Oryctolagus cuniculus: one gene and its partners. Each later gene encodes a partner of the first gene's protein in a complex. Links are inferred from orthologs where the notes say so. Each region holds a gene or a part of one and is shown in the gene's direction. Other genes may lie near its edges.

Region 1 (3,500 bases):
AAGTTACAGAGGGGGTGAGATAGACAGAAAGGTCTTCAATCCACTGATTCACTCCCCAAATGGCTGCAACAGCTGGAGCTGGGCCAATCCAGACCCAAGAGCCAGGAGCTTCTTCTGGATCTCCATTGTGGGTACAGGGGCCCGATTACTTAAGTGGAGCAGCCGGGACTTGAACCGGCGCCCATATGGGATGCAGATACTCCATGCTGAGGCTTAACTCATTGTGCCACATTGCCAGCCCAAAACAAAAAATATTTGTGATAGTGATGCAGGCATATATTTTGTAGAAGCAGTTATCCATTATACCACTAGTGCATGTGCTTTGTAGCACTGCATCTACAGTTTCATGTTTCCTTTTGTTGGTCCTATATGGAGGTTGTTAGAATGTGAGCTGCCTATTGAAACATGAAAATTTTGTTCAGTGTCATTGAATTTGGGGTAGGATATTAGAAACATCCCATTTATCTGTTCAGATGGTAAAAACTGAGATGGAAGATGTTATAACTTTCTTTAAAATGATATTGAAATAACCTGTTGACATCTTGGGGAAAAAAAAAAAAACTTGAAGGATCCAAACTTTGCACTTCTCAATGATACCATTAAGACTGTGTTCACATGCTAAGAACTCTCCCTTGTTTTTAAGTTAATATGCTGAGCAATAATGAAAGTATTTACCATGACAGCTAAAATTGGGAAAACAATACACAAATAGAACCTCTATGAAAGTCTGTTTTATATACCAGATGTTGGACATTCATTTATATATTTTGATACAACTACTTTGATAAATCTGGTGCCATATCTATGGAATGGGTAACAGATCCTAATTAATTTGTGGGAATTGTCTTTCTGATTTACATAGGTATCCTTAGGTGGTGTTGATCTCACAGTCCGGGTGCTCACAACAGGCTATTGGCCCACTCAGTCGGCTACACCAAAGTGCAACATCCCACCAGCACCAAGACATGCTTTTGAGATATTCAGAAGGTAAACCTAAATCATATGTGCATTTTCAGTCTAAATAATTGTCCAAAAATAAGTGTACTACCTTTATCTTTTTAATATCTAGCAAAGTTGCAGAAGTCTCAACTCCCCCATTACCTTTTCTGTTTCCTCTTTTGTAAAAATTGGAATTGAATTTATTAAATCTTCGGGTTTCCTTTAAGGTTCTCATTAAATTTATATTTAAGAGTTATTATCCTGCAGTTTGTAATTTCACATGTATAAATTGTGTGATTGCAAATACAAATTGTATATAAATTCTCTGCTTCTCTAAAACCTGGTTTGGTTTGCTTAAGGTTCTACTTAGCCAAACACAGTGGTCGACAGCTCACACTCCAGCATCATATGGGTTCTGCAGATCTCAATGCCACTTTTTATGGACCAGTTAAAAAGGTAACTTTGGTTTGAATGTTCTAAGTTACTGAAAATTTGTCCTTAGAGCTTATGATGATTTCTGTTGACTCAGGTACATTTTTAATTCATATTTTCTATCTGTTTCAAATATTAAAAATGTTAAAATACGGGCTTGGATATTTTACTTTTTTACCTCAGTTGTTAACTTTATTTGAAAATATGAAGACTATGCTAGTAGCCTTCCTTAAGGAATAAATAATGCTAGTGTAATTATACATTATATTTTTAAAATTAAACTTGAGACAGTATTGCATAAAATAGGAAAATGAAGTTGATCTGAAAGTATGCAATCCTTATATCTGATCAGCCACAAACCAGAAAATTAGTACTTGAAATTTTTGAAATACGTAAGCATTCATGTCATTAAAAAATTCAGTGATGCATTAATGATATGCCTTCTTAATTAAAGTACTTTGTGTGTTCTATCACTGTCATCGTGGTGAGTACTGTTAAAATAATTTCAAATTTAAATATAGGGAATTGGTGCTCAATTATTTTCTCAGATACATTAAAATATTCACAATGCAAGGAGAAAGGACAATCCTAAATAAAGATTTGTTTTTGTATGTATAGGATTTTCTTTTGATGCAGGAATAAGTAGTGTTAAGGGATAGAAATGACAGGAATTTTCTGAAACATACATTAAAATTATCAGGAGATAATTATATCTTGTTTATATTTTTTGTAAAAAAATTCAAACAGGAAGATGGATCTGAAGTTGGTGTTGGAGGTGCACAAGTAACTGGCTCTAATACACGGAAGCACATTTTACAAGTCTCTACTTTCCAGATGACCATATTAATGCTTTTTAATAATAGAGAAAAATACACATTTGAGGTATGGATTATGCTTATATACATTTTAACCAGTTGTTTTCTTTCTCTCATTGTGGGAGTCTTATTTGAGTAACCCTAAGATAGTTTTTCAGAATATATTTATAGAAAATTGCATAAAACTGGGCCATACGTTTCTTGGGTCATGTTTCTTTTTGTTGGTTTATTTTTTTAAGCAATTCTTTGATGCATAATTTTCATGTAATAGAACATAGCCCCTGAAAGCACATGATTTGATGAGCTTTAAACATGTGTACAATGTAATCAAGAATATTAACTCCCAATCTCTTTGTCTCCCCTCTCTTCTATTCCCCTCCCATCTTTACTATTCAAATAAATAAGTAAATCTTTAAAAAAACAGAAAATAAAAAAGCCAGCAATGTGATGCAGTATGTTAAGCTGCTGCCTTTGACACCAGAATCCCATGTTGGAGTGCCATTTCCAGTCCTGGCTGCTTTACTTCCGGTCCAGCAGTGGATGGATGATGTCCTACATACACTTGGGCCTCTGGCACCCATGTGGGAGACCAGCATTGCATTTTAGGCTCCTTGCTTCAGCGTGTCCCAGCCCTGGCCCTTGCGGTGGCTTAGGGCATAAATCAACAGCTGGAAGATCTCTTTCTTTTTTTGTTTCTCCTTTCTCTTTGTCACTTTACCTTTCAAAAAACAATAAATAAATATTTTTTTAAAGATTTTATTTATTTATTTGACAGAGTTACAGACAGAGAGACAGAAAGGTCTTCTTTCCGTTGGTTCACTCCCCAAATGGCCGCAACGGCCAGAGCTGGCCCGAGCCGAAGCCGGGAGCCAGGTGCTTCTTCCCAGTCTCCCAAGTGGATGCAGGGGCCCAAGCACTTGGGCCATCTTCTGCTATCCCAGGCCACAGCAGAGAGCTGGACTGGAAGAGGAGCATCCGAGACTAGAACCAATGCCCATATGGGATGCCAGTGCCGTAGGCAGAGGATTAGCCTGGTGCACCATGGCACCAGCCCCAATAAATAAATCTTTTAAAAAAAAAATTATTTCCCCCAGGTTTCTTTGTATCTTTTTAACTTTGATTTAATGAATATAAATTTCCAAAGTACAGCTTATGGATTACAATGGCTTCCCCCCACCCCATAACTTCCCTCCCACCCGCAACCCTCCCCTTTCCCTCTCCTTCCCCTCTTCCATTCACATGAATATTCATTTTCAATTCTCTTTATATACAGAAGATCAGTTTAGCATATATTAAGTAAAGATTTCAACAGTT
Region 2 (4,229 bases), on another chromosome or scaffold:
CGTCACCCAGTTACTGCCAAGAAAGCAGCCCAAGTCTGGGGAGCTTTGGTTCTTTGAACCGAGGCTGCTGCTTTTCCGTACTCCGACCCACACAACAGCAGCATTACCTGAACGTGCTGGACATACTTGGGCAGGATTTCAGCCACGTATTCCCCGAAAGCTGAGAGTTGCTTGTGGGCCACGTCATTCCGTGGTCTGACAGTGGCTGGAAAGAAAAGAGACAGTCAACAAAGGAACGGAGGGAGCCGCAGCCGGCCTTCCACAGTCTCTCGGGCTTCTAAGGGGCGTCATGTCCCAGCAGAGATCCCTGGAGACCCTCGAGAAAGGTGGGACTGGAAGCCATGAGAACGTGGGGAAATAACATCTCAACCACAGTCCACAGGACTCAGCACTGCAACTGCGATGTTGGCATCTTTCAGAACGCCCACAGCTCTCTGACATAGGGCGCAATCTCAGCTCCCCTGCTAGACCAGGAGCTGAGGACAGGAACCAACACTTTTGCTTTTCCGTATCTCCTTATCCCAGGTTCTCAAGCTAAGAACTTTAGGGCTGAAGAGCCCTCAGAGATGATTTCTTGAAATGGTCAGGGTTTGTTTTGTTTGTATGAGACAAAGGAGACCCAGAAAGGAGGGGATGCCAGGTCTGCCAGCTCCCAGCCTGCTTATCATGTTGACTGCAACACAGGATCTCCCTGCAATGACCTAAATCACTGACAAGCTGCAGAGTGCTGGGTGGGCCCGCTCTGTCACTCACTAGGCCTGTGACCCGGGCAATTTCACTCTCCGGGTCTGCAGTGTGGGGAGTTACTAGCTACATCCTAAAAATGACATGAAGACTACAGAAGATCATTCACTAAAAAGCCGAGTGAGGAGCTCTGACACAGAGGAAACACCGGGAGCTGCTAGCATCCCACGGCTCAGACCCAGAAGTTAGGTTTCCTGCTCTTTCATAAGAGCTGGCAGTTCAGTCAGAGAAACAGGGTCACGGAGGTGGCCAAAGGACAATCAGGCAGTAACAGAAGGGTCTAAGAGCACGGACGCGGCTGGCTTCTGCAGTCAGGTTTCCAAGGACAGGAAGGCATCCGCCAGGGGCACGCGGTGAAGGGCACCCTAGGCAAGGACCCCGGTGAGCAGTCCCCGTCGGCGGGACGGAGAAGAGCGCTGCCCGCACATACTCACGGCGCGTGTCGGCCGCGGCGCTCTCCTTCCTCACCGGCAGCAACAGCACCGAGGGTCGCCCGGTCCCTGCACAGGCAGATAAAAGGCACAGACGCGCGGGGTGAGGCGTGAGGAGCTCAGCGCGCCGGGCGCGCCCCTCCTCTTAAACCCGGCCTCAGCCGATTGCCCCCTGCTCACCCCTGGCCAGCGTGGCGGCCCTCACGAGACCGCGCCACCAGCCCCTAGCCGCCACTGCCGCCATGTTGCCCGGATGTCCACCAACTAGCCCAGGGAAGGTTCGCAGGACACGGAGCCCCAAGGGCACGGACCGGAAGCGGAAGTGTGCAGCAGATCTTCTTCCGGGCGGACTCGAGGCCGGAAGCAGGGGTTCCGGATTCCGGGCACCGGGATGAAAGGAGGGAAGGCAGGTGAGAAAACGCGACGGACAGGTGGGAAAGCCGTGAGGTGGACGTAGCCTTAGCTCAGTGTGACAGAGGCTGGAGAGAAGGTGAGGACGCCGAAGACCTGGGGGGTGAAGGGAGGGAAGGAGCGGGCGTTCTGGGTTCTACGTTCCACACCCCTCCCCCGCTCTCCAGCCTAAGCTTTTGACGAGGGCAGGCGGGACTGAGGGGGAAGAACCGTTTCCCTGGCGACCGTTTCCCTGGCGACACCAGGTGGAGTGGGGACCCTGCACTGGGTGATGGACCTCCTAGTGCCCCGGGCTGGGGGCGGCTGGGCTCTGTCTCGAGTTCCGGGACGGAGCCTTGGGAAGTCATTAGGGCAGGCCGGGAAGTGGGTGGGGGAGAAGCTCAGAACAGCAGGAGTGGGGCTGACGGCTGTCCCGGGCCAAGCCTCAAACTGGAGGGTCTGGGCCCCATGCATAGGGCAAGAGGTGACTTGGCCACAAGGACGTAGATCTTGTTTTGTGTAGTTCTGCTGCCCGAGGATCCCTAGTTTTATGCTCGAGTTGGTTGCTTAGTAAGGCTTTTAAGGTCACCAGCTTTTATGTGTGGTCCTAAATCCTGTCTTTTGTTAACATTATGAAAGGAATATTACGTATTTTCTCAAGGAAGCCCCCAGAGTTGGAGCTTTGGTTGATTTCACTGGGGGAGGGATGCCTTCGCAGGAGAGAGAACCTGGCTTTGGATGCAGGAGAGGGTCAGGGGCATCATCCGCAGGGCCAGGACTGAGGCCAGTGTGGACCCACTTTGCCCTCACCTTTCCCTTCTCCCTGCCTCATTTGGAGAGTTGGATTCACAGACTGTGGCTGTGAATTCCCCCAAGTTACCCGGGGTGGTATTGCTTTGCAGACAGCTGGCAGAGAGAGAAGCTGGCTACCATGGAATCACCAGAGGAGCCCGGAGCGTCCATGGATGAGAACTACTTTGTGAACTACACTTTCAAAGACCGGTCACACTCGGGTCGTGTGGCTCAGGGCATCATGAAACTGTGTCTGGAGGAGGAGCTCTTTGCTGATGTCACCATTTCCGTGGAAGGCCGGGAGTTTCAGCTCCACCGGCTGGTCCTTTCAGCTCAGAGCTGCTTCTTCCGGTCTATGTTTACTTCCAACCTGAAGGAGGCCCACAACCGGGTGATCGTGCTGCAGGATGTCAGCGAGTCTGTGTTCCAGCTCCTGGTTGATTATATCTACCACGGGACTGTGAAACTTCGAGCTGATGAGCTGCAGGAAATCTATGAGGTGTCAGACATGTATCAGCTGACGTCTCTCTTTGAGGAATGTTCTCGGTTCTTGGCCCGCACGGTACAAGTGGGAAACTGCCTTCAGGTGATGTGGCTGGCCGACCGGCACAGCGATCCCGAGCTCTACACTGCAGCCAAGCACTGTGCCAAGACCCACCTGGCCCAGCTGCAGAGCACAGACGAATTTCTCCACTTGCCCCACCATCTGCTCACTGATATTATCTCTGGTAAGTGTAGGCAAGGGCCACCCAGCTTCTTGGCTGTGGTGTTCAGTGTGTGTTTAAATTCAGGAAAAAGAAACCCCGCAGCTTCTCGGTATTAGTTGACATTATTATTCCTGGTAGGAATTTAGATATCTCCTGGGAGGACTTGAGCAGAGATTGAGGGTAGCTGCTGTTGCAGACAGAGTGCCTTATATAAGAGGAAGCCAGGAAAATAAAAGCAGCAGCACTTGACCCACAAACAGTAGTGAGGAGCTGATTTCTTCTGTGACCAACTGTTCTCATCTATCCTGTATTGCACATAGATCTATGGGCCCATTAGTTCAGTAAGCTGATGAGGTAGGATATCTAAAGTAAGACACTTTACTAGTCGGCCCATGTACTTGGGTCTCTGCCACCCATGTGGGAGGCCAGGATGGAGTTCCTGGCTCCTGGCATTGGCCTTGCTCCGACTTGGCTGTTGCAGCTGTTTGGGGGAGTGAACCAGTAGATGGAAGCTCTCTTTCTGTTTTTCCTCTCTGTCACTCTGCCTTTCAAATAAATAAATACATCTTAAAAAAAAAAAAAGCTTTACTAGTGACAGACCAACTTTAGTTAACGATCATACCCTACAAGTAAGATATAACTCTGCTTTAAGTGTGAGCTCTGCAGCCTGATGGGTTGCTTCCTTGGCAAATGGGAGCATACCGTGTCATCATTAAACAACAAAACCGACATGTATTTATTTGAAAGGCAGAGTTGGAGAGAGAGAGGACAGCAAGACCTTCCATGTGCTTGTTCACTCCCCAAATGTTTGCAAAGCCAGGGCTGGGCCAGGCCAAAGCCAGGGAGCTTGGAACTCCACCCAGCTCTCTAATATAGGTAGCAGGGGCCCAAGTACTCGGGCCATCTGCTGCTACTTTCCCAGGTGCATTAGCAGAGAGCTGCTTTGGAAGTAGAGCAGCCAGGACTCGAACCAGTGCTCATGTGAGAAGCCAGTGTCACAAGTGGTGGCTTAATCCACTGTACCACAGTGCTGGCACCACTGTATCATCATTCTGAGCTCAGAAATGGGGCAGGGGTGGGTCTTGTGCTGCTGGTTAAGCTGCTGCTGGGATGCCCACATCTCATCTTGGAGTACCTGGTTCGAATCCCACCTGTATTTCCAACC
Region 3 (4,191 bases), on another chromosome or scaffold:
ACTAACTCATACGGATGTCCATAAACCCGTCTCAGGGAACCAATGAGCTTTTTGTTAATTTGCATGGGTTTGTATTTCTTTGAACTCTAATTTTCTCATACTCAGGTAACAGACTGAATTGTTTTTCAACATTTTCTCTCTTTATCTCAAACCACAACTTAAATTCCAAGATCGTTTATCAAGAGGTTCAACTGTTTGATCTTTTCATTGTTAGAAAGTCATGCACCTGCACTAACTCTATCTCTATTAAGCCCATCCCATTCCCTGATAAGACTTCCTTACACCTCCAAGGTTTAGCATTCCCACAGTTAGCTCCTTTGTACCTGACACTTATCTTGAAAAACATTAAGCATCTATAATGTGCCAAGCACCCTGTGAGATGCCAGAAACACACAACATTTGAATAAACCAAAACATGCCCACAAAAGAATTTCTGCTTTCTTTCTCAAAACTTGTAGTGTACGGTCCAATATAGATTACGATACACACGTCACAGATAAAGGATTTAAGTGCTCAAGAGTTAAAGAGTCTTATCTAAGGTCGCACAAGGAGTAAATAAAGAGCCAGGGTATCAGTGAGGGTCCCCGGGTCCAGGCTCAGCATGGTCTCCAATATTTCTTCCAAGGAAATTCCAGGCGGCTTAGTATCCTAACCTCACCATGGCCCCGGGAGCAAGACCAGGAAGACCTCCTGTAATCCCTCTATCGTGTTTAGGTGCTCCTAAAAGTGGAACAGGTGATGCCCGGAGTGCACAAGAAGCCAGGCACGCGTTAAATCAAGGTCGTGAGCAGCCCTTGTAGCCACACCAGGCTAATCTGGTCACGGAGCACAGGGCCAAGGCGACACTATTTCAGCTGGGTGTCACAGGTGACCCCTTCCAGGCGGCCTGCCTTCGGGCCGCCGGATGTTTTTCTTCAGGGTGGGGTGTCAGATTTCCTTCGCATTTTTGGACCACAGCCCTCCTGCCCATTTCCACATTTTTCTGGTTTCACAGCCCTCACGTAGAGCTCGCCTCTAAAGCGGAAACCTGTCCTCGGCGGAAGTTTAATGAATGAAGATAAAGGCTTAAAAGGGGGCGGGGGGAGGAAAGGCAGGAGATAGGCCTAAAATGGGAAAATTCGCACTCGAAAATCTTTCCCTACCTCAGCCCCACAGAATGACAGCTCTCCCCAGTCAGAAGACTACCTCTCCCGGCAGACACTGCGCGTCCCATGGCCACAGGCTGGCGGGCTCCCAGCTCCCCACCTCCGCCCGAACCAGCCAATAGAAATCCTCGGCTTGGGCCTCCGCCCGACCCGCACCACGCGGGAGCGAGGGCAATAAAACTACATTTCCCGACGTGCAAGCTTCCGCAACGTGGCCAATCCACGCCAGGAATTAGTAGACTGGGGGGCGGAGCCTGAGGCTTAGGCCACCCCATTGGCTAGGCGAAGCTTAGAAGAGCCGGAACCCGGGAGCCCGAGAAGCGAAATGACATTTCCTCTTTAAATAGCTAGAGCCAGGGCCCCATCGAGAAATGGCCGCGTCGGCAGGTGGGTCGCGTGTGGCTAGCGCGGTGTGAAGAGGGTGTTTATGGGGGGGAGGCGAGCCGAAGCTAGGCACAAGGTATGAGTTGAGGTGGTAACAACGAGGAGCCGGAGAGGAGGATGGAGAAGTGGCGGGGGCTCTCGGGAGGGGAGGATGAATGGCGTGGTGGGCAGTGGGCGGTCCGAGCGGACCGGGATGGGGAGGCTGGGTACCCGCCGTTGCTCCGACCTGTTCGGGAGGCGGCCGGGGGAGGGGGGGGGGGACCGGCGGCCGCCATCCTTCGAAATTCGCTCGTGAGGCTCCTGCCGCCGGCTGTCGGCGGCGTCGCCGCAGGCGCCTCGCCGCTGCTGCTGCTTCTGCTGCCGCCGGCGCGTTCCCTCCGCGAGCACGGGGCTGCGGGCTCGCCGGGCTCCGGCAGGAGCCGGCGGGCCTTTGAACTCCGCTGGGCGGCTCGCTGGCTGCGCTCTGGCTCCCAGATCCCTCCCTCGCGGTCTCCTGCGGCGGGGAGTGTGTATCCGTGGGCGAATTTTTGTAGGAGGGGGCGCAAGCAGCCAAGGCAGCACACGCCGACGCCGTCATTGGCTCGAACTTCTTTTGGTTGTATGATTTCTCTCCTAGATTTAAGTAAGCCTTCCCCTACACCGAATGGGATTCCGTCTTCAGACACAGCCAGCGATGCCATGGACCCCTTCCATGCGTGCAGTATTCTTAAGCAACTCAAAACCATGTACGATGAAGGACAGTTGACAGACATTATAGTGGAAGTGGATCACGGGAAAACATTTTCCTGTCATAGGAACGTCCTTGCGGCGATCAGCCCTTACTTCAGGTATGATGACCGTAGAAACTTCCATGACTTCGGCCCCAGGCCCCCGTGCCCCTCAGTGCCGTCCCCTTGGAAAGCAGCCAACGAGAACAGGCAGCAGGCCTTGCAAACCCGTGTTTTTGACTTGAGGGATTCTTCTAGAGTTCAACCAGTCGGTTTGTAAGTTATCGAACCTGTGTTGATGTAAATGAGCAGAAAGTCTGTGGCAGCCCCTGGCCTCACAGAACCATTTACACTTAAATTATTTTAAATTAAATTAAAAAATTAACTCCCTGTGGACGGTAAACACATTTCAAATACTGGGTAGCCCCATGGTGTTAGTAGATGCTATATTGGGAAGAGGAATAGACAACAGTTCCACTTAAAGTATTATGGGACAGTTTTGTTAAACGTTTTATTGGGCAGCGCTGATGAAGAAATTTGTTCCAAAAAGTTAATCATGATGCATATTAGAGTTTAAAACACGGTAGCCTGTTTGTTTGAAAACCAACTCCTGTTGAACAGATTGTTTTAATACTATGGGGCTAAATGGAATGGAATAACAATGAATGAAATATTTCCAGATGTGTTTTTATACTGGGTTTTCATTTATATTAATCTTTGAAAAGTAAAATTTAAAGCTTTTAGGTTTGAAAAGTAACTTCATACTTTAAGATGAAAGTAGTGAAAAAGGCAGTGTCCTACCTGAGTTTTACTCCTTTTGTTTCAAATGCTCACTTTTTTAGGCCTTTTAGTTTTCAAAAGTGGTACCTTAATAACAGTAAGATCATCTTCTCAGCCACTCTGAACGTGCTTTTTCCTTTTGAAGGTACTTACCTTTTATTGGGCACATACTGTAATGTTCCAGGTTGCAGTTTCTGGTTCCTCTTTCTCAGAATACTGGGTTAAATATAGTTACTTCCGACTGATACTTCTGATATAACCATTTAGACTTGCCAGCTTAGGTCATTGGACTACTAAGTATTCATCATTACAAGACAGTGAGCCAGAGGAAAAAAAGTAAAACTTAGGTATACGCAAGCTACAAAGTTTGTCCTGGTAATGGAGACTACTGGTAACGTTCAGTTACCCTGGCTATGTATTAGATAGAGTTAAGTCATTTATGTTTTAAATATGTGTATACTTCAAAAAGTTCGTGGGAAAATGCAATTAAAAGGTAACTTTATTTTAGTGATTTTGAAATGCACTTGTTAGCTATTGTGCATTTTCCATGATCTTTTTGAACACCCTCCTTGAGAGTAGGGGTTACGTGGGCCGCAGGTACTATTTACCAAGCTTTTGTGTGCCTTCAGTAATTTTTATAATCTCAGCTCTGTACAATTGTTAGTCCCATTTTACAGATCAGTAAACTGAGGGCCAGTGAGGTTACCTGACCTATCTGAATCATTTGACTGTTGAATGGCAGAGGCTGGATTTGATTCTAGAATCAGGCTTGTTAGTCACTGTGGGACTCCTGAGGAACTTGAGTGGGTAGAATGGGTCCTTTTTACAGTTGCATTTCAAGAAATGTTATTTATATATTAGAATTGAAAGCAAAAAAGTAAACAAAACTTCAAAGTGAAAATGTTTGTATCTTACTGAAATTTTATACTCTAGATTGTATCATTTAAATCAATTGAATTAAAATTAGTTTTGAAGACAAAGTACTTTAGAAGAAATATGCTACAATAGATTTTCCTAATTTCCAAGAAGTTAAAAAAATAGAAAACTTTAATCATAAGATATGTACATTCAAATGAAGATATTTGGCTAGAAAATGTGAGGATTAAGTTCTTAGCTCTTGCTAGAGATTACTGTACAGAAGTTTTTTGCCACCACTGTTTCTCCTTATGTGGGAT
Region 4 (3,500 bases), on another chromosome or scaffold:
AGAGGATCCACTAAACATAGGATGTTGCCACAGAACCTACCTCGTGAACTTTTTTCTTTAGCTCATGAGCTGCACAGTTGCAGTTTTGAGCAGGATGTCTGCAGCCAGTTTTCGTGTTGAAAAACCCTGAAGAACCTGACCAACAGAGGATGACCTAGAAGTGATTCTAAGGCTGTCACAAGATATTCCTTAGTGAAAGTCCGTCTTGGCTCTGAATGTTACAGATAACAGCAAACAGACTTGCTTCTTTATTTCAGAAGTATTCACTTGACCTTCCATCAGTAAGATTGACTTTTCTAATCTGTTTCGAGAGCTATTAATGGAATACAGTCATGTCCACTCAAGACGAGAGGCAGATCAATACTGAATATGCTGTGTCCTTGCTGGAACAGTTGAAGCTGTTTTATGAACAGCAGTTGTTTACTGATATAGTGTTAGTTGTTGAGGGCACTGAATTCCCTTGTCATAAGATGGTTCTTGCAACATGTAGCTCTTATTTCAGGTAAGTACTTTCTTTATTAGTTTGTAAATTATACATATAGAATGTTAGCTTGTTTTAATAGGGATTCTTTTAAATGCTGTTTTACATTTTTTAAAAATCCTATAATGTTTTAGATTTTCTACCTCAGATGATATACTGCTTGCCCAGTCATTGCCTTGCATGTGTAAGTTCGGAACAGAGTAAAGAAGTTTTTACAGAAGTTTAAATATAGAAATTGGTTGACGTTAAGGCAAAGTTTTAAGTTTGAGGGAGCAGAAAATTACAGAATATTGTTCCTTTGAAAGAAAAACAGGGTAATTTACTCAAGATTTTTAAAAAATATTATAATTAGAAAATATTGGTCCTTGTTTAAAAACTGAGGTGTTAAAATAGGCTCAGTAATTTTTGGAGGATAATTGGTGCTGTTGAGACATGTTAAAACTTTTCTTTCTTTTACAAAAATCTAATTCTATTTCTCACTTGTGATTATTGTTACCATTTGAGATAACCATTTAGCCTTACTAGGTGTTTTCTGTTCCTTAGAAAATAGAAGTTGCTTCAGTTATTTGTTAGTCACAAATAAACTTTATACTTTGGTGACCTTTTGTATCTTTAAATTTCATGAGAAGTAGAAGCCAAGACAAAAGACATCGATTGGTTCTGTGCCTTAGGTTGATTTTTACTACTTAATATTTGAAAAGGATAGGATGAATAAGATGAATTAAATGTAGACTAGTATATTTTTACTAGGAATATTCCCCGCCCCCCAGTAAGTAAAGATTGGCAGTGAGTTCATTTCTGCTGTTATTTACTGGCAGTTATACACAGGACCGATTTAATCTGACCACATGAAGATACAGAAGCTTCATACTCTTCAGTGTAACTGCATCCCATGGTGATAGCAGAAGCTAGAGCCCAAGTGCTTACAGTTTTTGTTTTCAGGTTAAAGTGTGGATTGTTGATGCAATTTCAGATTCTGATTTTCTTGTCTGTGTTGGGAAGCTTAGCCTATTTGCAAATAGTAGTTCTAAAACCTGGTTGGTTATTAGAATTTTAGTGCTTTTACAGAGAGTATTGGATTTCAAATTCAGAAATTTTTATTCAGGGGGTCTGGATTATGAAATCAGAATCTTTATTATTTAAAAGCCTCCTAAATGGTGTGATACTGGTTTTTTGTTTTTGATTTGTTTTCAGATTCATTATTTTAGCAAATGGTGTTAGAAATTCAAGTTTACAGGTTCAGTTAATACTTGGGCTCATTAGCTCTCCTCCTTTTCCCCATTTAAGCATTTTTTAATTTGAAAGGCAGAGACAGACAGACATAGACCTCCTATCTCTGCTGGTTCACTTTCCAAATGCCTGCAATAGTAGTGTTGGCTAGGCTGAAGTAAAGAGCTGGTAACTCAGTCCAGGTCTCCCAAGTTACCCAAGTGATTGAGCCTGTTGCTCATGGGTGTGCATTAGTTGGAAGTTAGAATAGGTAGTGGAGCCAGGACTTGAACACAGGCCTTCAGATATGGGATGTGGGTGTCCCAAGTGGTATCTTAACCTCTGGGCCAAATGCTTGCCCCTATGCGCTCCTTTTGTTTGGTTTTTTAGAATTATTTTATTTGATGGCTGGCGCCGTGGCTTACTTGGCTAATCCTTCACCTGTGGCACCGGCACCCCGGGTTCTAGTCCTGTCTGGGGCGCCGAATTCTGTCCCGTTAGCTCCTCTTCCAGTCCAGCTCTCTGCTGTGGCCCAAGGCAGTGGAGGATGGGCCCTGCACCCGCATGGGAGACCAGGAGGAAGCATCCGGCTCCTGGCTTCGGATTGGCGCAGTGCCGGCTGTAGCGGCCATTAGGGGAGTGAATATCGGAAGAAAGACCTTTTTTTCTCTCTCTGTCTCTCTCTCTCACTGTCTAACTCTGCCTGGCAAAAAATAAAAAACAGAATTATTTTATTTGAAAGAGTTACAGGGGTAGAGTGGGGTGGGAGGGTCTTCCATTCCACTGGTTCACTTCCCAAAATAAGCAAAAAAAAAAAAAAAAAAAAAAAAAAATCCAGAGCCAGGAGCCAGGAGCTTCCTCCAGGTCTCCCATGCCGGTCCAGGGGCCCAAGAAGTTGGGCCATCTCGTACTGCTTCCCCAAGCCACAGCAGAGAGCCAGATCAGAAGTGGAGCAGCTGGGACTTGAACGGGGTCCATAGGGGATGCTGGCACCACAGCACTGGCTCTGTACTCTCCTTTTTTAATGGCCATTAATTATTATTTGACTCTCCATTGTTGGAAAGAGCTTTAAACCTTAGTTGTGGGTTTTCCACCTGACATTTGTAATCACAGAGTAGAATCTTTATTGGTAGTAACTTTAGTAGTCACCTGGTCTAACTTTTAAATCTATGCAGAAATTCTGTGTATAATACTTAAATTTTCTGTGTGGTCATCGTCTTTACCAGAAAATAACACATGGGCTATTCTCTAGCCATGAGATTATTTATCTTTAATTGAGTTGTAATTAGTATTCTAGGAAATTTTTTTTTATTTGACAGGTAGAGTTAGAGACAGTGAGAGAGACAGAGAGAAAGGTCTTCCTTCCGTTGGTTCACTCCCCAAATGGCCGCTACAGCTGGAGGTGTGCTGATTGGAAGCCAGGAGCCGGGTGCCTCTTCCCAGTCTCCCATGCAGGTGCAGGGGCCCAAGCACCTGGGCCATCCTCCACTGCCTTCCCCAGCCACAGCAGAGAGCTGGACTGAAAGAGGAGCAACCGGGTCTAGAACCCGGCGCCATATGGGATGCCAGTGCCGCAGGCGGAGGATTAACCAAGTGAGCCACCGCGCTGGCCCCTCCAGGAAATTTGTCTTTAATCAGTATTACAGTCTTACAAACAACACAGTCCTTTAAAGGTTGCCTTTTTTGTTTTTTTTGTTTGTTTCATTTTAGAATCACTAGCCAGGTCTTTCTTCAATTTCCGTGAACCTTTTTTTTTTTTTTTTTTTTGGTAATTTTTTTTATCTTGGTTAGTGGGAGGTTTCTTTTTCTT
Region 5 (3,940 bases), on another chromosome or scaffold:
GGCCGCCTGCAGGACCGGGCGCGAAGCGGACCTCGGGCGCTGGCCCCTGCAGCCTGGCCTCTGGCCTCACCTGTGCCCACCTCGCTCCACGTGGGAGCAGAGAGACGCCGCCGCCCGCAGGGCGACTCTGCCCGGTACCCAGGTCACCCTGCGCTGCAGGAGTCACAGGTCCCGGTGCCTCCCCTCGCGTCATACACGTCCACGTCACACATATGGTCACACACAGGTCATAAACACACGTCCACATCACACATACACACATACACACACATCACACACAGTCACACACACATACGGTCACACAGGTCATAAACACACATACAGGTCACACATACACACATACACACACGTCACACACATCACACACACATACGGTCACACACAGGTCATAAACACACGTCCACATCACACATACACACATATCACACACAGTCACACACACATACGGTCACACACAGGTCATAAACACACGTCCACGTCACACATACACACATATACACACATCACATGTCACACAAAGTCACACACATCGCACATAGGTCACACACATATGGTCACACACAGGTCATAAACACACGTACAGGTCAAACACAGGTCACACACATATCACACATATACACACCCCACATCACACAGGGTCACACACAGGTCACACATATACCCACACCCTCGTCACACACATATACGTACACGTCACACACATACTTATCACACAGGTTGCACACATACAAGCCCCACACACACCCTCACACACACACACGCCGACACCCCCTCACACACACACACTCACACACAAGCCGCCCCCCCCCACACACCCCATAGTCACCGGGGCTCGCACCCCGCACAGCAGGCCGGGCCGGCCGGGAAGCCCTGGGCTGAGCCCTGTGGGAACGCCTCGTCACAGACGCGCGTGACCCCACGGGACTCTGCGGACGATCCCGCCCCGACGCCGCGGTGGCAGAGCTCATCAGTCCATCGAAGTCTCTAGAATGTCGAGGCGGTCGGCGTCCGGCACCGGGGCCGCGGGAGCCTGGCCCTTTAAGAATCCGGTCCCAGTCCTTCCACGCCCCGCCCCCCGCGGAACCGGCGCGGCTCGCACGCCCTGCCCCTCGCCTCGGCTGCCACGGGCTCGGCCGCCCGTCCGTCACAGAGGCGCGGCCTCTGATTGGCTGCGGCGCTTTGGGCCAGGAGGCGGGGCGGGCCGGCCGGAGAAAGTAGCTGCCGGCGGCGTCTCGGCGGTCCCGCGGCGGTTCGTCCGGCGGAGCGGAGCGGGCCGGGGTCTCGGTGAGTGCCGGGGCCGCCGCCCAGGGGCGTGTTCCTCCCTGGGGCCGGGCGGCGCGCAGGAGCCGGGCGTCCACCGGCGGCCCGCGGGACCCGCACCGGTCAGCCAGGCGGCGCGCGCCGCGGTTCTTTGTGGGGCGAGCGTGGCGCTCCGCGGCGGGCGGGCCGGGGTCGGGGCGCGTCTCCGCGGGTGGGCCGGGGTCGGGGCCCGCCCGCCGCGCCCTGGGTCTGCCCGCACCCCCGCACCGCGCCCGCCCCGGCGGGGCCTCGCCAGCCGCTGCCGTCGGGACCTGTGTCCGGGCCCGGCCGCGGGAGCGGGGACCGGACGCCGGGCCTGCCGGGTTTCGGCGGGAAGTCGCCTTCGGGCCGGCCGCGGACTCGGCACCGGGCCCCTGGCTGGGGGCAGAGGCGGTGTGCGGACCCGGCGGCCCCAGCCCCGCGGACGGAGGGCTCGCCGCTCGTCAGGGGGTCCCGCAGCTGAACGGAAGGAAGGACCCCTCGGCCAGGGCGTCCGAGCCAGCAGCGCGCGGAGCCCCCGGGGTGGGGTGCAGCCGGGGCGCCCTGGCTGCAGAGGCCGAGGCGGTGCTGCCGGGGACCGGTCGGCCGTGCCCGTGCGGGGGCGCAGGGGCGAAGAGAAGACCCTCGGCTCAGCGGAGCGCAGCCCCAGCGCGGGCTCCAGGCTAGCCTCCTCCTGGGGTCCCGGGAGAGCCCACCCCCTGACCCCAGAGGCCCGCCGGAGGGGCTGGCAGAGGCAAATGAGGCGGTCAGTGAGGGGCACCTGTCCAGGTGGAGTTGCTCAGCTGGCACGGGCGCGGGGGCCGGGGAGGGGGCTCACCTGCCCGCACCTGTCCTGTCCCCGGCGGGACGGAAGCCTGCAAAGCTGAGCGTGGTGTGGCCGCTGGGCCTGCGCTCTGCTCCCCGGGGGTTGGGGAAGGGGCTGCCTGCTGCCTTGTGTCTCCGGTCAGCCCCCACCCTCTGGAGCCCGGTGGCCATCCAGGGCTGTGGGCATGCAGGCCCCACAGGGAGCCTCGCCGGCCCCTCCCTTCCCTGTGGCCTTCTTGCTGTCAACAACCCCCCCACCCCGTCTTGGTGCTGGTGGCCGGGTAAAGGGTGGGTACTGTGGCTCATCATCCTCTTGTTAGATTTTTAATGTTTTCATTTAACTTGAAAGAGACAGGAGTAGACATTGAGCGAACCCGGCCGCAGCCAGGAGCCCAGCCCCCATTTGTGTCTTCTCCGTGGGTGGCGAGGACCCAAGTCCCAGAGCTCCACCTGCTGACCACCCCCATCCCCGAGTCGCTCATCAGCAGGAGGCTGCGTGGGCAGTGGAGTAGCTGGGACTCGAGCCAGACCCGGGACGCAAGGTCCCCAGTGGTGACCACAGTCCCGCCCTGGCCGGTGTGTGGAGGTGGCAGCTGTGTGTCCCTGGGACGAGCGCCGTCTCTTCTGCACACACAGGCAACGTGCCGCCCTGGCCAGGCTCGTGCATGCGTCTCTGCAGGCTCCTGGGCTCCCTGGCCTCGGTTTGCTGTTCTGTGCAATGGGTGGATGCCCCTTTGTATGCTGCTGTTGACTTCTTCCAAGCCCCGATGTTCAGCGTGTGGGGCCCCGGTGCCTGCCGGCCCAGCTGGCATTCCCCGGGGGCGGGGTTTGGGTGCAGCACCAGCTCTGCCGTACCCTCCCCTTTCCATACCCTGGCTTCCCTGGGTGTGGGGTCTTTCTCCTGGGGGTGACTCCAGGGGGACAGGCGCTCGTCCCTCAGCCTTCCTGGGTGCCTGCCCAGAGCTGGGGCCCAGGGCTGCGGGCGAGGGCGTGGAGGAGGCGGCATGCGGGTGACTCACTTGCCCAGGGCTGCTCCTGTGCTGGGACCTGGGCAGGGGCGGTGGGAGCGCCGAGGCTCCCCCAGAGCAGACGGTGAGGCCTGGCCCCCGGGAGCCCGGGCGCCCCCCAGAGCAGACGGTGAGGCCTGGCCCCCGGGAGCCCGGGCGCCCCCCAGAGCAGACGGTGAGGCCTGGCCCCCGGGAGCCCGGGCGCCCCCCAGAGCAGACCATGAGGCCTGGCCCCCGGGAGCCCGGGCGCCCCCCAGAGCAGACGGTGAGGCCTGGCCCCCGGGAGCCCGGGCGCCCCCCAGAGCAGACCGTGAGGCCTGGCCCCCGGGAGCCCGGGCGCCCCCCAGAGCAGACCGTGAGGCCTGGCCCCCGGGAGCCCGGGCGCAGAGCCGGGGCTGCCTCCTGGAAGAGCTGGACAGGGAGGCGGAGAGTGAGGGGCGCTGAGTGCCCGCCGCACCTCGCCTCACCCGCAGGACCAGTTGGGCGGCCCTCACCCCCTGGGCCGGGGCGGTGCCCCGCGTGGCGCTTCCTCTGTGCCTCTCGCGCCCCCGGGGAGGCTGACCGCAGATCGGTCCGGGCTGAGGGAATTACTTTCCTAATGACGACAAGAGGAGCTTTCTCGCTGCGACCTCAGGACGAGCGCCTGCGGGGACAGCAGCCGGCTGGCCGGTCTGGCCGCGGATGGAGCGTTCGCTCTTCTAGGAAGCCACGGCCGTTGCCTGAAGCGTCCAGACTCCTGGTGCTGCTGCCCCAGGTGGCCCCTGAGGCCCAGGGCGGCAGGTGCCTCGACCCGTGGGCGCCGGGCACTGGGCTAGACCCTGGGAAGGGGC
Region 6 (4,198 bases), on another chromosome or scaffold:
TGCAGGTAAGCAAAAAAAAAAAAAAAAAAAAACCTTAGCCATCTAAAGTAAATGTTATTTTTTCTAGACATATGAACACACAGGCCACTGGCTCATACCCTCAGTAATCTGACTTTTCAGTTAACACGATAGCACGGCCCACCCACCCTTCCCTTTCCGTAAATTTCTCCAGCATTCCTCATGGCTGCACGGTGAGATGCACAGAAGATGTTTAAATGAGCGCCTGTTGCTAGAAATTAAAAAAAAAAAAAAAAGCTGCTGTGTGCTCCGGGCCGGAAGCGGCACTGAGCGAGTGCAGGTGGACGGCTGACCCAGGGGCATTGCAGGCCCGCCGCGAACGTCCACTTCCTGGTGGCTCCCGCTCGTCACAAAGCCTACGCAACTGAGCGATTGGCCGGGCTCCGGGGCAGGAATGCCGGGGCCGCGGCCGCTGGCAGCCGTGAGAGCAGTCCTTCTATGGGCAACGGGCAGCCCGCAGGGCACCTGGAGGCTTGTCCGCTCGGGCGGACCCGACACGCAGCCCGGCGGCACGGTGCGGGGCCCGGCTCGCTGCGGGCGGGGACTGACAGCCGGTTCCCGGGGCGCACGTGGGCGGCGAGCACCCGAGTTTGCACACCCCAGGACTGCTCTGCTCTGACCCTGAGCAAAGCGGCTTCCAAGTGTCCTCCCCCGACACAGGAGGGGAGCCCAGGCTTTCCCTGTCCCCGCTGGGGGCCTCGGCTCCTGGGCCTCCCGCGGAGCCGCCGGCCGGGGCGCCCCGGGGCAGGTCCACTCCTTGGGAGGGCAGCTGCGGAGCCCGCAGGGTCCGGCTCGCGGCTGGGCAGTAACTGGGCGACCCCCGCAACGCCACCGCGGAGCGCGAGTCTGGGGTCCGGCCCCGGGGTCGCTTATGGATGCGCCGAGAAGAAACGTCACCGACACCCCTCAGGCTTGTGCGTGCTTCGGTCCTGAATTGTAGAAGAAAAACAAATTATATATGTATGTATCTCGTTCGAAGTCAGTCCCGTGATGGGGTTCACCAGCAACCCTCGGAACTAAGGAAACAAATCAACCAATAAATAAAGGCCATTGTCCCAGGCGCGAAAGGGGGTGGCTTCGCCCTCGGGGCCCCGCTAGCCTCTCCCGGGTTCCGCGGAGCGGCCGGGTCTGGGCGGGTCGTGGGCAGGCCCGAGTGCGCCCTGGCCACCCGCCGTCCCGCGGGCCCGGGCGCCGGCGGGAGCCGCGGGAAGCCCCGGCAGGAGGGCGGAGCGAGGCGGCGGGGCCGCGGACAGCTGTGACTCAGCCGGCAGAGTCGGGGGCGGGCGCGGCGCCGGGCCCGGCGGGGTTAAGTGGGCGGCGCTGGCCGCGCCCGCCCCGCCCCCGCCGGGCCGCCCTTCCCGGCCGTATTTAGAGCGGCGGCGCCCGGCGGCCGCGGCGTCCTCGGGCTCCCCCCCCGCCAGCGCCAGCGCCAGCGCCATGGAGCGGCCGGCGCCCCTGGCCGTGCTGCCCTTCTCGGACCCCGCGCACGCCCTGAGCCTGCTGCGCGGCCTGAGCCAGCTCCGCGCCGAGCGCAAGTTCCTGGACGTGACCCTGGAGGCGGCGGGCGGCCGCGACTTCCCGGCGCACCGCGCCGTGCTGGCGGCCGCCAGCCCCTACTTCCGCGCCATGTTCGCCGGGCAGCTGCGCGAAAGCCGCGCCGAGCGGGTGCGCCTGCACGGGGTGCCGCCGGACATGCTGCAGCTGCTGCTGGACTTCAGCTACACGGGCCGCGTGGCCGTGAGCGGCGACAACGCCGAGCCGCTGCTGCGCGCCGCCGACCTGCTGCAGTTCCCGGCCGTGAAGGAGGCGTGCGGCGCCTTCCTGCAGCAGCAGCTCGACCTGGCCAACTGCCTGGACATGCAGGACTTCGCCGAGGCCTTCAGCTGCTCGGGCTTGGCCAGCGCGGCGCAGCGCTTCATCCTGCGCCACGTGGGCGAGCTGGGCGCCGAGCAGCTGGAGCGGCTGCCGCTGGCGCGCCTGCTGCGCTACCTGCGGGACGACGGGCTGTGCGTGCCCAAGGAGGAGGCCGCCTACCAGCTGGCGCTGCGCTGGGTGCGCGCCGACCCGCCGCGCCGCGCCGCGCACTGGCCGCAGCTGCTCGAGGCCGTGCGCCTGCCCTTCGTGCGCCGCTTCTACCTGCTGGCGCACGTCGAGGCCGAGCCGCTGGTGGCGCGCTGCCCGCCCTGCCTGCGCCTGCTGCGCGAGGCGCGCGACTTCCAGGCGGCGCGCTACGACCGCCACGACCGCGGGCCCTGCCCCCGCATGCGCCCGCGCCCCTCCACCGGCCTCGCCGAGATCCTGGTGCTCGTGGGCGGCTGCGACCAGGACTGCGACGAGCTGGTCACCGTCGACTGCTACAACCCGCAGACGGGCCAGTGGCGCTACCTGGCCGAGTTCCCCGACCACTTGGGCGGAGGCTACAGCATCGTGGCGCTGGGGAACGACATCTACGTGACGGGTGAGTGGCCTGGGCTGGCGGGGGGTGCGCTCGGGTTCTCGGGCCCCAGGGGAGGCCGCCTCTCTACCTGCAGTGGAGGGGCCGCTCCTGGGCAGCGGTGTGTCTTGGTGACACTTGGAAACCAGAAGAAGGGCCCTGTGTGTGTGTGTGTGTGTGTGTGTGTGTGGAAAGGGGGTGGGGGGGACAGACAAGTAGCTGCTTGTGGTCTGTGTGCCTTGTGCCGCGGGCCTGCCTGGCTGAGCCAGCTCCTCCCTGGCAAGAGCCCCCCCCCCCAACCTTGGTCATTTGGAAGCGGCTGGGGCATTCACCCACACAATGGGTGCTTTCTCTTTTTCCCTCGGGAACCCAGGGACGGGCGGGAGCCAGACGTTCTCCCCCAGCCGGGGCCGTCCCCTCCCCGCTGAGCCAGGGGATCTCCTGACTCACTCGCTGTGCCCTGCCCGGGTGACAAGGCTTGGGACCTCCTGACTCACTCCCCCCATCCGGGTGACAGGGCTCCCTCTGACTCCCACCTGAGCCCTGCGTTGGGGGTCACGTGGTGCTTAGGCCCCGCGAGGCCTGGGACTGTAAACAGGGTCACATGTTGGGAGGTTTTCTTCCAGTTCCTTGGCCCAAACCCCAAAACACTGCCGAGTCATGGTGGGCGGGCCCCAGCCTGCCCGAGCCCTGGGCTTCTCCCACGTTTTTCATTAAGGATAATTCGCGCTCAAACAGGAGGCTACCTCCTTGGAGGGGTGAGGAGGGGCGGTGTCTGGGACTGCTATATAAGGAAAGAACCCAGGCCTTGGTGGCTCTTATCAGGCAGGGAGGCGCGGGGCTGGTTATCACAGTGGCTGTGCCCAGCCTGGCACACTCTGGACAAAGCTTGCTCCCTCCCAGATGTACTGTGGCTTCTCGTTAGGTGACAAGGGGGACGGGAGGGGCCCAGGGACAGCCTCAGCTCCGTGGGCCGCAGCTTCCTTGGCCTGCAAGCTTGTCTGGGACTCGATCCCTCACACACAGAAGTCTGACCAGTGGCTTTGAGCAAGGAACTCCCGCCCCAAACTGGCCGGACTGGCCCCTGCTTCTGCACGCCCTTCCATAAATTGTCACGACTGAGCAGCCGCGGTTTCGGCAGGTGGCTGGGTCATTCCGTGCAGCTGCCCGGAGGGGATTTCGTGGGGGTGAGGAGGCCCGCTGAGGGGGGAGCGTTCCAAGAACTCTTGTCTTCTCCCTTTTTGTTCTGAGCTACGAGACACGGAATGTCTGCCCCACCCTGTGGCACCTGCCCCAGGCCGAGAGGTGCAGCCCCAAGGGTTCCCGGGCTCCCTGTGAGCCCCAGGAGTTCTCATGCTCTTAGTAGGTGCAGTTTAATTGAGGGTGACAGCCAGCACCCCTCGGGGTTCTTTTAGCTTCTTACTGATGTGAATAGAATTCAGAAGCGTAGACATGCCTGGGCGGCTTGCCCAACAAAACACGCCTGGGTGACCTGCACCAAAATCGGGAACCAGCACCGGAACAGCCCTCTCAGCCTCACTTGCCGTGTTCCGAATCCTCCTTCCCTCTGCCGCGCACAAGCTTGGCTAGAATTTGATGGGCAGTGCCTGTGCTCACCCAGACGCTTGGTGTCTCCCCAGCAGGTCTGACCCCGGGGCCCCAGGCCCTGGTCAGGGAGGGAGGCTGTGTCTGTTTACTTGGGATTGTGCCCCAGGAGCTGGCCGGCAGGGGCTCCGCTGTCCCACA
Region 7 (3,940 bases), on another chromosome or scaffold:
TGCAGGGCCCAAGCACTTGGGCCATCCTCCACTGCACTCCCGGGCCACAGCAGAGAGATGGACTGGAAGAGGGGCGACCGGGACAGAATCCAGCGCCCCGACCAGGACTAGAACCCGGAGTGCCGGCCTCGCAGGCGGAGGATTAGCCTAGTGAGCTGCAGCGCCAGCCAAAATAAATATATTTTTTAAAGATTTATTTTATTTATTTATTTATTTGAGAGGAGAGTTACAGACAGTGAGAGGGAGAGACAGAGAGAGGTCTTCCATCCGCTGGTTCACTCCCCAGATGGCCGCAAAGGCCGGAGCTGCGCCGATCTGAAGCCAGGAGCCAGAAGCCTCTTCCGGGTCTCCCAAGCGGGTGCAGGGGCCCAAGGACTTGGGCCATCTTCTACAGAGAGCTGGATCGGAAGGGGAGCAGGCGCCCACATGAGATGCTGGCGGCACGCAGGTGGAGGATTAACCTAGTGCGCCACAGCGCTGGCCCCAATAAAATAAATCTTAAAAAAAAAAAAAAAAAACAAAACCTGATGACCTCTCAGACACTCTGCTGGATCACAAATCCACGCCTTTGCTGAACGCGTGCCCTTCCTGCAAAAGCTTCCCTCGCTTCCCTAAGTTCTCTTCCGTTGAGTGGGGGAAGGTGGGACAGGGAGCCATCTGTCACCTCCTCCAGGCAGCCTTCCTGGAGGTTCTGGGAGGCGCTAAGACACCAGACTGCTAAGCGCCTCCTCACGGATGGCTGGAACCAGGCTTCAGGACTGGGAGTTCGATTAACTCCAGCAAACAGGAAAACGAACCCCTGTCGGCCAGGGAGGCGTGCAGAAGTTGTCTCCGACATGCAGCAGAGGGCGGGGGACCTCGGGGAGGCAGGGGGCGAGGAGGGGGCGTGACGGAGAGGAGGCGGCAGGGGCCGAATGGAGGAAGTTTGCAGCCTCGCCCTGGGACGTCCGTTCACTTCTTCACTCATTCATTCATTCACTCGTTCCGCTGCGCAGGTGCCAGGTGCAGCGACGCACACGGCCACCCCGGCCGTCGCCGCCCTCCGCGGGCTGAGCCCGGCACCCGAGCTGCCCACGCTGGGAGGGGCGGCCCCGAGCCGCAGCGCCCCTACACCCTTCCGCCCGCCCCCGGCGGGGGCACCACGCTCCCTGCTCCCCAACCCCGCCGGTGCCCCTGCCCCGCCGGCGCGCCCTGCGCCTGCGCGGCGCACCACGTGACGGCCTTGGCCCCGCCCCCGCCCCCGCCTCCCGCGAGTGCGGCCTCGGCTTGCGGCGGCTCCAGGTCAGCTGTGAGGCGTGGACCGGGCGGGCCGAGCGGGCCGGGCTGAGGGGAGCGCGAGCGGCGGCGGGCGCGCGGGGCGCGGGGCGCGGGTTGAGCGAGGCGCGCGAGCGTGCAGGGGGGCGGGCGCGGGGCCGCAGATGCGCGGGGGCGGCGGCCTGAGGTGAGCCGGGGACCCTGACGTGGCGGCGGGGGAGCGGCCCGAAAGGGACCCCCGAGGCTGGGGCTCGGGGCGGGGGGGACTCGGCGCGGATGCGGGGCCCACCGGCCTCTTCGGCCCCGGGGTCGGCGCCTGTCACCCGCAAGGCGATGCTAGTGCGGCCTTGGCGGCGGCGACCCTCGGCGCTGGCGCCGGCGGGTCCTGCAACAGGCGGGTGTGTCGTGGCCAGGCCGCCGCGGCCACCAGGCGTGACCTCGGACCTCGGCCTGAGAGCTTCCCGGGAGGGGAGGGGAGGGGAAGGCAAGGGTCGCAGGGCCGGGGGTCGCCACCGTGGCAGCCCAGCCTGGCCGGGTCGTCCGGCTTCTTCAAAGAAGCCGGAGATAGCGCTGTCAAAGTGCAAAAATCGCCCGGCCCGGAAGCCTCAGCCGCCAAGGTCTATTTTCGATCCTGGGCGGGCCGAACCGATCCGACCCGACCCGGGTGGGCGTGTGGGGGGGCGCTATCAGCTTCTGTCCCGGGCTTCTCCGTGCGGGGCCCAGGCTTGGGCGCGCAGGGACGCACGCTCCAAGTCCGCTTTTTCGGAGCGCGTCCGAGTCGGCGCCACTTTGGAGCCTTTGCCCCACCTCCCCACCCCCTCCCCGGAAATTAGGACCCACTTCCTCGTCTCCTTTGCCTGCGTTGCACTTCTTGCCTCGTGTCGCCAAGCATTGGGGTGCAGCCACTGCTCTTTGTGGGGGCGCCTTCGTTAACGGACGGTACTGTTGGGGTGAGGGGCTCTCTCTGCAATGCCGTCGACTCTCATGCCTGAGTTCCTAACATTCCGCTTGTCCCTGCTTGGAAGGAACGTAAAGCTCTCTTTGGGCCCCCCTCCCCCGAATCTGAACTGCACGGAGTGGGGAGACCTTGCTTACGTCGTCGGTTAGAGTCGGGCTGCTAAGGGCCCCGAGGGGGCGGGGCACTTCATCCGCGGACAGGGCTTCAGGATGGAGTAACTCCGGCGGGCCAAAGAACGCGTTGCTAAGAACGTTCTACTTTATCTTCGAAAAGCAGGCGTGGGAAAGGATATGCCTTGTTCCCTTCATCCTCTCCTGGTAGAACTAGTGTCCCTTACAGAAATGCAGTTACACTCCGAAATGCTTGTTTCTCATCCAAATCAGCACAGATTAGAAAGGCACACAGTGGGTGAGGTAGACATTGGCCTCCCTCCGGTTCGCCTGCTTTGCTGCTGGGGATGGGGTGGGGCGAGGCGGGGCTTTCTTTTATCTAGAAACTTTTCGTGGGATGGCACAGCTAAAGGGCTTTTAACCTACAACTGCTTGCAGTCGCAAACAATTGGAGGAAACCCAGATGTCGCTCTAGGACTGGTTAAATAAAACGTCTTTATCTATACAGTGGATGGTGGGAGGGATATGAAGTTCCATGAAAAAGCTAGTGAATACCAGGACAGGGGGCTGACACTGTGGCTCAGCAGGTTAAACTGGCATTGGCTAAACTGTGCCTGGTTTGAGTCCTGTCTGTCCTGTGCTTCCCACCCAGCTTCCTGCTAGCGCACCTGGGAGGCAGTGCTCCCACTCACACGGGAGACCCAGATGGAGTTCTTGGCGCCAGGCTTTGTCCTTGGCGCAGCTCCTACTGCAGCTCGCACTTGGGGAATGAGCCAATGGATGCAAGATCTCTGTCTCTCCCTCTGCCCTTATCACTCTGCCTTTCTAACAAATGAATAAATCTGGAAAAGAAGAAGGGAGTAGGGGAGGGATGTTGGGATTTACAACAGTTGCCTGAGACTTTATAGATGCCTTCTAGAAGCTTCCTCTGGGAGAGGATCTGGAGGGGCAGAGCCTGGACAGTTGTAAGTTTTACAACGGACATTTTACTGCCTCTTGAATTTGAGTCATGGATGTATTATGACTTAAAAATATGTTTGATGATTTCTTACTAAACACATAACATTGACAGGCAAATATAAGGAGTAGCAGATCCTTACCAGTGTTTTATGTACTTTTTTTTTCTTTCTGGAGATAGTCATGACCCTGCATTTGACATTTATTGTTCCTATAAATGTGTTTGTACTGTTTTATACCATAATATCCTCCTTGCATGCGATCTTGAATATTATTGTTTTGCTGTTTTTTTGGACTTCATGTCAACAAAGTTGTCTTGTACCTGTCCTGGCATTTTCTGCTTTCTCTCTCCGTAGCTTTGAGATTCTCCCACTCCACGGCTAAAGCTTCAGTTCTCAGCTGCTCATTTTAACTGCTGTGTTCTGTGAAGTCATGGACCCCAGTAGGCCTATTCCCCTGTGGATGAGTGTCTTCTGTGGGGGTCTTCAATGTTTTGGCACTCTGTGCCACTGTGGTCGGTCCATGATGGCAGGGAATCGGCTCGCTTTTCTTCACAGCCCCTCAAGCACCTACCGCAGGGGTGGGAACTTCCAGCCAGCCCAGGCCACATTCGGCCAGCAAAAGCATTTGGTTTGGCTCTGCCAAGGCAGCCACAGGCGGG

Evidence for each region.
Region 2: CUL3 (region 1) and KBTBD4 share a complex: the UniProt entries of both Homo sapiens proteins name them as parts of the BCR(KBTBD4) E3 ubiquitin ligase complex. The link is inferred for Oryctolagus cuniculus from reciprocal best matches to the Homo sapiens genes CUL3 and KBTBD4.
Region 3: CUL3 (region 1) and KBTBD8 share a complex: the UniProt entries of both Homo sapiens proteins name them as parts of the BCR(KBTBD8) E3 ubiquitin ligase complex. The link is inferred for Oryctolagus cuniculus from reciprocal best matches to the Homo sapiens genes CUL3 and KBTBD8.
Region 4: CUL3 (region 1) and KBTBD2 share a complex: the UniProt entries of both Homo sapiens proteins name them as parts of the BCR(KBTBD2) E3 ubiquitin ligase complex. The link is inferred for Oryctolagus cuniculus from reciprocal best matches to the Homo sapiens genes CUL3 and KBTBD2.
Region 5: CUL3 (region 1) and KLHL25 share a complex: the UniProt entries of both Homo sapiens proteins name them as parts of the BCR(KLHL25) E3 ubiquitin ligase complex. The link is inferred for Oryctolagus cuniculus from reciprocal best matches to the Homo sapiens genes CUL3 and KLHL25.
Region 6: CUL3 (region 1) and KLHL21 share a complex: the UniProt entries of both Homo sapiens proteins name them as parts of the BCR(KLHL21) E3 ubiquitin ligase complex. The link is inferred for Oryctolagus cuniculus from reciprocal best matches to the Homo sapiens genes CUL3 and KLHL21.
Region 7: the proteins of CUL3 (region 1) and KLHL22 are in contact, whole or in part, in a cryo-EM structure (PDB 8K8T), measured with the Homo sapiens proteins. The link is inferred for Oryctolagus cuniculus from reciprocal best matches to the Homo sapiens genes CUL3 and KLHL22. Residues at the interface, in NP_003581.1 of Homo sapiens: Thr14, Arg17, Ile18, Arg19, Ala20, Phe21, Pro22, Met23, Met25, Asn49, Ser50, Gly51, Leu52, Ser53, Phe54, Glu55, Tyr58, Tyr62, Leu66, Met118, Asp121, Ile122, Met124, Tyr125, Arg128, Val129, Gln133; in NP_116164.2 of Homo sapiens: Asp73, Tyr74, Arg76, Gly77, Met78, Gly81, Gly82, Leu83, Lys84, Glu85, Leu92, Ile93, His94, Leu117, Gln121, Val125, Cys128, Gln129, Gln131, Pro133, Trp146, Glu150, Asn151, Asp154, Val155, Arg157, Leu161, Phe162, Asp163, Ser165.

Annotation. Positions count from the first base shown.
Region 1 is NC_091434.1:14,728,538-14,732,037, forward strand, and holds part of CUL3 (cullin-3), read left to right. Parts: intron 1-862; coding exon 863-987; intron 988-1,298; coding exon 1,299-1,395; intron 1,396-2,118; coding exon 2,119-2,253; intron 2,254-3,500. UniProt on the Homo sapiens protein: Core component of multiple cullin-RING-based BCR (BTB-CUL3-RBX1) E3 ubiquitin-protein ligase complexes which mediate the ubiquitination and subsequent proteasomal degradation of target proteins.
Region 2 is NC_091432.1:18,411,037-18,415,265, forward strand, and holds the start of KBTBD4 (kelch repeat and BTB domain-containing protein 4), read left to right. Parts: upstream 1-1,429; 5' UTR 1,430-1,566; coding exon 1,567-1,585; exon of another isoform or gene 1,586-1,665; intron 1,666-1,735; exon of another isoform or gene 1,736-1,831; intron 1,832-1,922; exon of another isoform or gene 1,923-2,033; coding exon of another isoform or gene 2,034-2,049; intron 2,050-2,405; exon of another isoform or gene 2,406-2,467; coding exon 2,468-3,085; intron 3,086-4,229. Other genes in the region: NDUFS3 (NADH dehydrogenase [ubiquinone] iron-sulfur protein 3, mitochondrial), read right to left, coding at 108-205, 1,179-1,244, 1,356-1,419. UniProt on the Homo sapiens protein: Substrate-specific adapter of a BCR (BTB-CUL3-RBX1) E3 ubiquitin ligase complex which targets CoREST corepressor complex components RCOR1, KDM1A/LSD1 and HDAC2 for proteasomal degradation.
Region 3 is NC_091441.1:82,545,751-82,549,941, reverse strand, and holds the start of KBTBD8 (kelch repeat and BTB domain-containing protein 8), read left to right. Parts: upstream 1-1,391; 5' UTR 1,392-1,516; coding exon 1,517-1,532; intron 1,533-2,145; coding exon 2,146-2,356; intron 2,357-4,191. UniProt on the Homo sapiens protein: Substrate-specific adapter of a BCR (BTB-CUL3-RBX1) E3 ubiquitin ligase complex that acts as a regulator of neural crest specification.
Region 4 is NC_091447.1:23,651,136-23,654,635, reverse strand, and holds part of KBTBD2 (kelch repeat and BTB domain-containing protein 2), read left to right. Parts: 5' UTR 1-332; coding exon 333-502; intron 503-3,500. UniProt on the Homo sapiens protein: Substrate-specific adapter of a BCR (BTB-CUL3-RBX1) E3 ubiquitin ligase complex that acts as a regulator of the insulin signaling pathway, modulating insulin sensitivity by limiting PIK3R1/p85alpha abundance in adipocytes.
Region 5 is NC_091443.1:1,880,618-1,884,557, forward strand, and holds the start of KLHL25 (kelch-like protein 25), read left to right. Parts: upstream 1-1,140; 5' UTR 1,141-1,284; intron 1,285-1,520; exon of another isoform or gene 1,521-2,067; intron 2,068-3,940. UniProt on the Homo sapiens protein: Substrate-specific adapter of a BCR (BTB-CUL3-RBX1) E3 ubiquitin ligase complex involved in various processes, such as translation homeostasis and lipid synthesis.
Region 6 is NC_091438.1:160,937,298-160,941,495, forward strand, and holds the start of KLHL21 (kelch-like protein 21), read left to right. Parts: upstream 1-1,398; 5' UTR 1,399-1,455; coding exon 1,456-2,476; intron 2,477-4,198. UniProt on the Homo sapiens protein: Substrate-specific adapter of a BCR (BTB-CUL3-RBX1) E3 ubiquitin-protein ligase complex required for efficient chromosome alignment and cytokinesis.
Region 7 is NC_091452.1:29,973,368-29,977,307, forward strand, and holds the start of KLHL22 (kelch-like protein 22), read left to right. Parts: upstream 1-1,140; 5' UTR 1,141-1,281; intron 1,282-1,296; exon of another isoform or gene 1,297-1,441; intron 1,442-1,777; exon of another isoform or gene 1,778-2,193; intron 2,194-2,689; exon of another isoform or gene 2,690-3,287; intron 3,288-3,940. UniProt on the Homo sapiens protein: Substrate-specific adapter of a BCR (BTB-CUL3-RBX1) E3 ubiquitin ligase complex required for chromosome alignment and localization of PLK1 at kinetochores.